Caenorhabditis elegans: one gene and its partner. The protein of the gene in region 1 purifies or fractionates together with the protein of each later gene. This does not show direct contact. Each region holds a gene or a part of one and is shown on either strand. Other genes may lie near its edges. The genes, in order: mtg-1 and cpi-1.

Region 1 (7,059 bases):
TTACTCCAATTTCCTGAAAAAATTTTTTTTTTCACAAAAATTTTTTTTGTTGGTATTTTAGCATTTTTCAATAAAAATTTTGGTTTTTATGGATTTTTTCACACAAATTCGTGTTTTTCACGTCTCCAGCTTCAAAATGACCCCCATCATGCCCTGTTTCCGTGCAATTTGAAAAATTCGGGTCTCGCCACGCGGGGTACTGTAGCACCGGTTTCAGCTGTGTCGAAACTACAAAAGCTCAAAATCAACGTATTCTGGTCATGTTGGGGGTCATTCAAAAGCTGCTGACGTGGCGAATTCAATGAAAACAGTTTGGTGGCCGAGTTTTGGATTTGAAGGCCACCAAATCGAAAAACGTGGATTTTTGTCGCACCTCGTATCCTATTTTCGTCTCCGACACCCGTAATCTCTTCGAATGGATATTCGATGTCACCTTCTCGTGTGTAATCGGGCAATTTTGCGTCGAGCTTGAAAAATTTCAGGGTTTTTTTTGCGAAAAAATCAGTTTTTTCCCTAAAAACTCAAAATTCTCGCTGAAATCTTTAACAAAATGGCGGGAATTGGTCGTTTCCCGCCGTAGATCAAACGGAAATTTGAATTCCCGCCGACCGCGTGGAGCAAGTGCGCTCCAGCGGACTAGTGGCGGGGAATTTGATTTTATTTATTTTTTCGGCAATTTTTCAGCAAATTCAATGATTTTATTGGTTTTAGGACAAAAATTAGTGGAAATTTTCATCAAATTTTGTGGTTTTTTTGGAATTTTTCACAAAAAATCGATAATCATCCAAATTTTTCGGGAAAAACGTCAAAATTATCCGTTTTTCTCGAATTTTCCGAATTTTTCCACAAACCTGCTTAATAAACGGAGGATATAGGCTCATATCCACGTTGTTTCCGCTTGCCATGCCCCGTCCATTCCTCTGCTCCGGATCGTTGCTCGAAACCGACATTTTCGGTGTGGAAAAACTCGGTTTTTCTTGGAAAAATCGATTTTTCGTCGGTTTAAAACCTGAAAATTAGCAATTTTCACGATTTTTTGAGCTATTTAGCAAGAGATTGCGAAGAAAAATACGAATTTTAGAGTAAAAACGAAAGAGAAACGAGGCGACGCGGCGGCCCGTTGTTACACAAATTTCGGAAGCAGTTGGCTCGCCCGAATTGAAAACATACGTGAAAAGCCGGGGAAAACGAATGAAAAAGTGAGAAATTGTGGGAAAATGTGGGAAAAATTAGTTTATTTCAGGAAAAAATTGGCTATAAATCGGTTTTAATGAGTTTTTAGCTGAAAATCAATAATTTTCGGGTCAAATTTTAGATTTTTGGGGTCAAAATGCTGCAACTCACTTCCAGAATTCAATTTTAATTATAAAAATCGAAAATTTTAATGAAAAATTTACGTTTTTCACGAAAAACCGCTCTGGAAAATAAAAATGTTCCAGGTTGCCAATGCAAACGCGCTCCATTGAGAAATCGCTTGTTGGCGGGTGTTTGAAATGGAAATTCTGATGAAATAAATTAAATTGGGTTTGGAAGCATCTTTGTTGGTTGAATAAAGCATTTATTATGAAAGAAATAAGATTTAAACAAAAAAAAACCATTTTTACAGAGAAAATACCAGAAAACACCGGAAATTGTTAGTTTTTTTTTGAATTTTTCAGGAGAATACCAACATTTTAAAACTAATACCGGTGCAAACCGAAAATCCACTAGAAAAACTCTAAAAATCACGAAGACTCCAAAAATCACAGTTTTTCTTGAAATCAAGTTTTTCTCGAAAAATCTATATTTCTCTGGGGAGTAATTTGTGTAGTTTTTGGTGTCAAAATGCGGCTAAAAACATTTTCTGTTTGTTTTTCGCATTTTCAATTGTAAAAAATCCCTTAAAAATGGTGAAAATTAGGATTTTCCAAAGTTATTAAAAATTGACTCTGCAATTGCGCTCCATTGCTACGCATGAGAGAGCAGAGACGCAGAGTACGAATCATGCAATTTCAGGTTATTTTTTGATTTTTTACAGGAAAAAATTGTTTTCACAATTTTTTCTCAATTTTTTTTCAAATTCCAGTTAAAAAATATGAATTTTCGTCGATTTCTGCACACAACATATCGAATTTCCACTCCAGGTACCCGAAAACCCCATTATTTACTCAGTTTTCCGCGCGGAAATCGCAATTCTTTTCAGAATTTCGCCAACAATTCGAACTTCCCGCGCAATATGACTATCGGCAGTGGTTTCCAATGCATATGTCCGTACAATTGAAAAAAATGGAAGCGAAATTGCGATCCGTCGACTTGATAATTGAGGTTTTGCATGGAAAATGGAACTTTTACGATTTTTTTTTTGGAAAATCTGTAAAATCACCGGAAAAACGCTGAAAAACCGAAAAACTGGTGTAAAAAACTGGTGTAAGAATTTTAGTGAATTTTTCCGCCTATAAAAGTTGAAAAATCGGGAAATATTGCAAAAATCGACATTTTTTCCAGGTCCACGACGCCAGAATCCCGATTACCGGCCGAAATCAGCAGTTTTTTCGACATTTATACGCTATTCGACCGCATATTCTCGTCCTGAACAAGTGTGACTTGATAGATATGAAGAAATACAAGTGAGAACCCGGAAAAATTCGAAAAAATCCGGAAAAAACGCTTGAAAAATCAAGATTTTCAGAATTTCTCCGAAAAATTTTGGATTTTTTCGACGAAATTCGGCTTTTTCTCAACGAATTTAGTCAAAAATTGCGATTTTCCGACAAAAATCCACTTTAATCACCTAAAAATTTGAATTCCCGCCGACCGCGCAGTGCAAGTGCGCTCCAGTGGACTAGTGGCGGGAAATTCGAATTTTTGGCTATTTTAGCGCGATTTTTTGCACTTTTTTAACGATTTCTGGGTGAAATTCGACCGGATTTTTATAAAAAATGAAGAAAAATCGATTCTTTTTACCTTTTTTTCGGAAAAAACGCTGTAAAATCCGAAATTTTCTCAAAAATTCCCCATTTTCAGGCACCAAATCGAGGATTATTACTACGAGCGGGGCGTTCAAAAAGTTTTATTCACAGACTGCAAAAAACGGCTTCCAAGGTGATTTTGGAGCTGAAAAATTCAGAAAAATGCATAAAAATTCTGAAAAATGCATAAAAATTCAGAAAAATGCATAAAAATTCTGAAAAATGCATAAAAATTCAGAAAAATGCATAAAAATTCTGAAAAAATCTGAAAAAAGCATAAAAATGCATAAAAATTCAGAAAAATACATAAAAATTCAGAAAAATACATAAAAATTCAGAAAAATACATAAAAATTCAGAAAAATACATAAAAATTCAGAAAAATGCATAAAAATTCAGAAAAATACATAAAAATTCAGAAAAATGCATAAAAATTCAGAAAAATGCATAAAAATTCTGAAAAATTCTGAAAAATGCATAAAAATTCAGAAAAATGCATAAAAATTCTGAAAAATTCTGAAAAATGCAGAAAATTGCTGGAAAATGCCGAAATTTCCCTACTAAACTGCAAATTTCAAGAGCTCTGAACGATGTGAAGCTGTCAATGTTAGACGCTTTGGAGAATACGCCACGTTTCAATCGAACCGTCAAAACAGAATATCAGGCAATGGTCGTCGGAATCCCGAATGTCGGAAAATCATCCCTAATCAACGCGATTCGAACACATACGCTCGGAATTAAGCGTAAAGCTGTGAGAAAATCGCTTCAAGACCCGAAAATTCGAATCGCCCACGTCTCCAGCTTTCAAATGACCCCCAACATGCCCTGGTTCCGCGCATTTTGAAAATTTTTGGGTCTCGCCACGCGGGTTACTGTAGCACCGGTTTCATCTGTGTCGAAAACTTCCAAAGTTCAAAATCAACGGAACCTGGGCATGTTGGGGCTCATTTTGAAGCTGGTGACGTCAGTAATTCAATGAGGAGAAGTTGGTGGCCGAGTTTTGGTTTTCTAGGCCACCAACTTTGAAAACATGGATTTTTACTTAAAAAATCGTTTTTTTCGGTTTTTTTTTGCAATTATTCGAACTTTAACCTAAATTTCAAATTTTGCACTGAAAATTCGTCTAAAAACCCCTTAAAATTGACAAAAATCGTCTGAAAATTCAAAGTCCCGCCGACCACATGTTGCAAGTGCGCTCCAGTGCGAAAAGTGTCATTTTTCTACTGAAAATCTTAAATTTTCACTAAAAATCCTAATTTTTCAATAAAAGTCTCAAAATTACACAAAAATTCCTAATTTTCACTAAAAATTTCAAATTTTCACTAAACATCTCAAAATTTCACTAAAAATCTCAAAATTTCACTAAAAATCTCAAAATTTCACTAAACATCTCAAAATTTCACTAAAAATCTCAAAATTTCACTAAAAATCTCAAAATTTCACTAAACATCTCAAAATTTCACTAAACATCTCAAAATTTCACTAAAAATCTCAAAATTTCACTAAAAATCTCAAAATTTCACTAAAAATCTCAAAATTTCACTAAAAATCTCAAAATTTCACTAAACATCTCAAAATTTCACTAAACATCTCAAAATTTCACTAAAAATCTCAAAATTTCACTAAAAATCTCAAAATTTCACTAAAAATCTCAAAATTTCACTAAAAATCTCAAAATTTCACTAAAAATCTCAAATTTTCAGGTAGAAGCCGGCGCGAGACCAGGAGTAACGGTCCGTGTCCAAAATCGGGTCCGAATTCTCGACAAACCGCCCGTCTACATTATTGATACACCCGGAGTACTATCACCAAATCATCGAAATGTCGAAGATGCTATGAAACTGGCAATGTGTGATTTAGTACTAGAAAGTCATGTTAATTTGTATTATTTGGCTGATTTCTTGCTCTTTTGGCTTAATCGATCGGAGGATTTTTCATATTTGGAGCTGCTGGGAATTAATCAGAAATTCAGGAAAAATTCCGAGAAAAATGAGGAAAATTTAGGTGAATTTTGAGGAAAAAAACCCTAAAGATCGATATTTCTATTGATTTTTCTCGAATTTTGAGTTAAAAATTGAGTTTCTCACTCATTTTTACACCTAGAAATTGCGGTTTTCGCACAAAATAGATTGGTGGCCTACCTTTTGGGATTTCTAGGCCACCATGGTGGTTTCAAACCATTTTTATCGATTTTTATCTCAAATAATGGGGCAATAAAAAGGATTTTAACTGAAAAACCGAAAAATTTTCAGTTTACATTCCTAAAATCCCCGAAAAAACCGAATTTTTTAATTAAAAAAAGTTGGGAAAAATTTTTAATTGATTTTTTTTTTCAAAAACTTGTGATTTTTCACTCTATCAATTGAATTTTGATGAAATATTCAGATTTTCAAATATTTTGGAATTTCAAATTTCAAAATTTTAAATTTCCACAAAAACTCGATATTTCCCCTGTGACTTGTGCGTTTCTCAGATTTCTGGCATAAAAACGAGTATTTATTCACATTTTCAGTCTTAAATTGGGCTGAAAATGTGAATAAATACCGTATTTCTGGCAACAATTTGACAATAGAGCACATTTGTCACTCGGACATGCGGAAGCTATGACGAATTGTCGTAAGGTTCGGACGAATTGTCGTAAGGTTCGGTGCCTAGCAGGTGTTTGCGTACTTTTGGCGCTACCGTACCCCTCGAAATTTAAAAATAGGGTTAGAAGCCCCGAAATAGGTCCCCGCGGTGTGAAATTCAACGGGGAATTCGAATTTTAGTGTGAAAACTGCTGAAAAATCCTGGAAAATTCTGCAAAAAAAAGTTTTCATTAAAAATTCAAAATTTCCAAGTTTAAAATTATTTTTCCTAAATTTTCATGCCAAAATTCGAATTCCCCGCAGGTTTATAGCCCCCTCTGACCGCTTTTTCAGCCAATTCGTGCAAAATTTCGTAAAATTCAGTTTTTGCGTACTTTCGGAGCTACCGTACCCCCCTCGAAATTCAAAATTTAGCTAGGAAGCCAAAAAAATCGAGTTTCGGGTGAAAATCGGCAGTAAAAACTGAGTTTTAGTGAGAAAAAAAACGAATTTTTATCAAATTTGGGCGAATTTGGACGTAAATTTTCGATTTTTTCCAGTGAAAAAACTCCAAAAACCTTTGATTTTTGCAGATATTTCGCCGAAACAGGCTCCAATTGATGATATTCAGCAAGTTTTGGCCCTAACTTGCGCTGCAAATGACTTTAGAATTCAACAAAGTATTGGAGAAAGATGGGATTTTGATCGAGCCGCCAAATATTTCATTCAACTCTACAGAAATCGAAAATTCAAGGATTCTTGCCTCGATAATGAGCATTTTTTGTATCGAAATTAGGAGATTTTTCGTTGATTTTTCATGTTTTTTGTTGTTATTTTTAGAAATATTTGATAAAAACTGCATTTTTAATGATTTTTCCCCATTAAAATCGGCAAAAAACGGGATAAAACCTCAATTGTAAGTAAAAAATTTGAATTCCCGGGCTGCTAAACAACACGCGCTGTGGCGTACTAGCGGAGTGTCGTAGTTTTTGGCGGAAAATTGGATTATCGAGTGGTTTTAAGGCTTTTATCTCAATTTTTTGATATATTTTGCATTAAAAAAAGCTTCTGAACACAGAATTTTGGAATTTTGTAAAAAATATAGTGAAAAAAATTTTTACAAAAAATTTTTTTTTTTTGAAAAACATTTATTTTCAATGTAAAAGTACACAAATAATTATTTATACTCCTTAATTTCTGCATTTTTCTCCAAAAAACTCGAAAATTCAGAAATCAATCGATTTTTCGGCAATTCAAATGTGAATTCCTTGAAAGCAGTGCTATAGCCGATTTGTTTGAATCCTAGTTTCTTCTTGAATAGGCTCAGGCTTGGTGTGTTGTCATCGGTAATTTTTACGCAGAATTGCTCGATTTTCAGATTCTGAAAAATTGAAAATTTTCGAAAAAAATATTTTTTTTGCTCATTTTTCAAAACTGTCAAAAACCATGTCAAAATTCTTATTCTCCTCATTTTCAGCTTCAAAATGACCCCCAACACGACCATATTCCGTTCAATTTGACAACCGACACAGCTGATATCGGTGC
Region 2 (3,698 bases), on another chromosome or scaffold:
ACAAGAAAACACCTTATCAATAAGGGAAAACGCTTCGTACGGAAACTCATGAAAAGCGAGAAGAACAAAACAAAATTCGCCGATTTAACGATTCGAAAGCGACAGAAAACCTTAATTTTAAAAATATTTCAATTAAATTTATCGATAATTTCAATAATTTCAATAAAAAACTTACGGAAACTGTGCGTGCACGTGATCCCAGGTTGGCTGCGGTGTTTTCGGCGATTCGTAGAAATTATCGTGTGTTGAGTAGGCGAGAGGCATTTCCTGAAATTTCTGAATGTTATTTTCATCAATTATAACAAAAATTACAAGAAATAACAGTGGAAACGAAGAGAAATCGTTGAAAATCGAGAAGTAAAATTTAAAATATTTTTCAATTTGAAAATTTTGTGCATTTTAACGTGGCGGTGTTTGCGTACATTTTGAATTTTCTCATTGTCGACCGTAGTTTTCGGTAATTATTGTGAAAAATCGGATGTTCAAACGAACTTTCGTTTGAACATCCGATTTTTCTACGCGTGGAGATGAGTTGTGTGTGTACTCCACACGGACAAATACATCAGTTTTACAACTAGTTGTAACTAAAAACGAGCCGCGAAGCCACACGCAACGCGCCGTAAATTTACACAAAATCTCTCCGACCCAAAATGCAGCCTAATTCGTAAGGTATTGTTGATTTTTATTTCATTATCTTTTCTTGCTAATTGAAAAAAGTCACATACAAAGCGCATGTTTTATTAAAACAATACTTTTTTCCGATCACATGCTGTTATTTTGATACAGTTTCGGTAGAACTTTTGATTTTAGTCTTTACTTTTAAATCTCGCCGCGATTGTACTGTAAGTGATTAAGATATGTATATTACGGGAACAATAAAGCATGATAATGCGTACTTGGTGCATTTTATTTGACGCGCGATATCTCTTAGCGAAAACTACAGTAAGAGCTTAAATATTTATTGTTATTTGAGTTCTTACTGTAGTTTTCGCTAAGAGATATCCCGGGTCAAATAAAAGCACCAAGTACGCGTTCTCATGATTTCTTGTTCCCGTAATACGGTACGATCGCTTTGAGGAAACTATGGTGTTTTAACAATGACTGTGAATTCTGTCTTTCTTTGACGATATGAAACTTCATGATATTAAACTTCCGTAGCTAATTAACCAATGCGGGATGTTTTTGACCCGGGTGGCCGACAGACAACATTTTAATGGAATGGAAACGACTGCCCGGCTGCCCCAATCACGCAAACCTTGATAACTATTGTATTCTTTCACGTCTCCCAGAGAGCGTAATAAATTATTAATTACCAGCCGTGGACCGCACCTACGGCGCGGCCCCCGACTTTTTTGAGAAAACACATTAGATATACGGTGTCTATCGCGGACCTCGATCGATGTCTGCTGCGCATTTAGCATAAGGTTTCCCAAAATTTCGTCGCTCTGATCAGAGATCAAACTACATAGGGACAGAAGGACACGCGCTTTATATATAGTAAATGATTATTATGTGTTGACTAAGATCGTGGCAAGATCCACACGGAAAACATCGTGTGGCTTTATAAAATCATGTGAAGGTAAAATTCGCTTTTCTAAAAATAAAGTTCTTCAGTTCTGAAAGATTGGAACAGCCCTTCATTTAAAACAAGTTCACTTAACTTGAATGTGAAACAGTAAATTATTTATACAAAATTTTGTAAATATTTTTTGAACTAAAACGTAGTTTTGAACTCATGCCTTGTTACTTCATTTTCAGAAGCTCTGGAATTTCTATCATTGCTTTCAGGTGCAAAAAAACTCTGCAAGAATTCCTGAAGCGGCACTTTTTTCCAGAAAAACAGAACATGCAAAAGTCGAAAATAATTTATGAAATGATATCATCATATTCAGTTGTAAACAAACTTTCCAAAGGAAGATAATGAGTCATAGCTGTTGCAATGATCGATTCTTTCTCTTTTTTCAATCAAATTGTTGATCTTTAGCTGTCTCGCTCTTATCACTCACCAACTGACTCTTATAAAAGCAAACGAATGTTGACATATTTTGTGACAAAAATAAAAATGCGTTTCATTCTTCTTATCGCACTTGTTTTCGCTGTTCTTGACGGAATAAATTGCCAAATTGCTGGTGGATTGTCTGATGTGAATGCCTCTGAGTATACTGTAAGTTTTACTTAGGCTTTTTGTTGAGAAAATGCTCATTTTGTGAAGATTTCTTATATTTTTTAAAACTATAGTTGATACTTACTCTTAGGATACTTAGTCCGGTTTACTATAATTTTAATTTCTTTCAATATTCGATAAATTCATTTTTTTAAACAAAAAAAACTGGAATAAAAATTTAGCGCTTTGAAAAATTCAATTACGACTCAAAATGCTTATAAAACAAATTAAAATTAAGAGTTTTAATTTCAAAACTGCTATTCAAAACTAATTGGCACTTCGCGCAAAATTTTAATAAATGTCTACTGGTTGAACAGTATCATTTAAAAATTTTGTGCACAAATGTAAACTGTGAAACAGTGAAAAAATTCATATTTCGAAAAAAGATTTTGGTTACCGTAATTTTCAATTTAAAATATATATGCACTTTTAGTTATGAGTTTTCAGGGAGCAGCTTGGAATTCGGTGCCGGAAATAAACAGTAAGAATAATGGACAAAACTACATGGTTCCAATTAAGGTAGGTTTACTCCTCAGAGGCAAAAAATGCTGTTCAAAAAATAATACTTTGCGCTTTTATAACACTCTTATTTAGGTTGTTAAAGCTCAAGTTCAAGTTGTTGCCGGAACCAATACAGTTTTGGAAGTTCTTGTTGGAGAGTCAACTTGTCCGAGACAAGGATCAGTTCAAGCTTCTCAAGTCACTGCTGCAAATTGTCCATTGAAGTCTGGTGGCAAGCGTGAACTTTACAAAGTGTCCATTTGGGAGAAACCATGGGAAAACTTCAAGCAAACTAAGGCTGAAAAAATCAGAGGTGTGAAACCTGATGAAAAAATTTAAATTAAATCTGGTGAATGTATTCTTGCTTTCTGTACTATTTTAAAAAATTGCTAATAAAGAACTTTGGTTTTTGAAAATAGTTGCTGCGTTACGTACTTTTCTTTCCAGCTAAAACCCTAATATACATCTGAAGAAAATATTTTTTGAAATTATATCATTATATTCCGTTGAAAATCAATTGTCCATGGGAAGACAATGAGTCATACCTGTTGCGATGATCGATTTTTTTTTGAATCAAACCCTTGATCTTTTGCTGTGTCCTGTTCATCACGCACTCCCTCTCACTCCTATAAAAGCAAACGAATGTTGATATACTTTGAGACAAAAATGCGTTTTATTCTTTCTATCGCACTTCTTTTTGCTGTTCTTGATGGAATGAATTGTCAAGTTCTTGGTGGATTTTCTAATCTGAACGCTTCCGAGTATACCGTAAGTTTTCTTTTTGTAGTGCATTTTAAAATTGTGCGTTGGAAACTTTTAAAGCTCAGAAATTGGAATAATTTGAGTTTCTTAATTTAAAAGCGAAACTATCACTCGCGCTACGTTCTTTCCAATAATATAAGTAGATTGAAACAGTAGTCGAATTTTAAGAATTTTCGTGCATTTTGAAACGAAGATTATATAATTGGTATTCTTCCTTTCCTAGTATAGTTTTTAATTACATGTTTTTATTGAGATGTTCAGATCAACGTTT

Evidence for each region.
Region 2: the proteins of mtg-1 (region 1) and cpi-1 fractionate together in Caenorhabditis elegans (co-fractionation; one large-scale study listed by BioGRID). This does not show direct contact.

The regions. Positions count from the first base shown.
Region 1 is NC_003281.10:1,531,819-1,538,877, forward strand, and holds mtg-1 (CP-type G domain-containing protein), read left to right. Parts: upstream 1-2,063; 5' UTR 2,064-2,074; coding exon 2,075-2,123; intron 2,124-2,182; coding exon 2,183-2,304; exon of another isoform or gene 2,305-2,406; intron 2,407-2,484; coding exon 2,485-2,606; intron 2,607-3,003; coding exon 3,004-3,081; intron 3,082-3,526; coding exon 3,527-3,698; intron 3,699-3,854; exon of another isoform or gene 3,855-3,904; intron 3,905-4,650; coding exon 4,651-4,951; intron 4,952-6,107; coding exon 6,108-6,310; 3' UTR 6,311-6,380; downstream 6,381-7,059. Other genes in the region: snf-6 (Sodium-dependent acetylcholine transporter), read right to left, coding at 1-13, 374-467, 852-950; Y67D2.5 (N-acetyltransferase 9-like protein), read right to left, coding at 6,692-6,895.
Region 2 is NC_003282.8:6,091,982-6,095,679, reverse strand, and holds cpi-1 (Cystatin cpi-1), read left to right. Parts: upstream 1-2,047; 5' UTR 2,048-2,062; coding exon 2,063-2,164; intron 2,165-2,456; exon of another isoform or gene 2,457-2,478; intron 2,479-2,611; coding exon 2,612-2,683; intron 2,684-2,758; coding exon 2,759-3,004; 3' UTR 3,005-3,077; downstream 3,078-3,698. Other genes in the region: K08B4.7 (Cystatin), read left to right, coding at 3,332-3,433. UniProt on the Caenorhabditis elegans protein: Cysteine protease inhibitor which inhibits members of the peptidase C1 family. Does not inhibit asparaginyl endopeptidase. May play a protective role against exogenous cysteine proteases derived from soil bacteria or fungi, or rotting fruits and vegetation.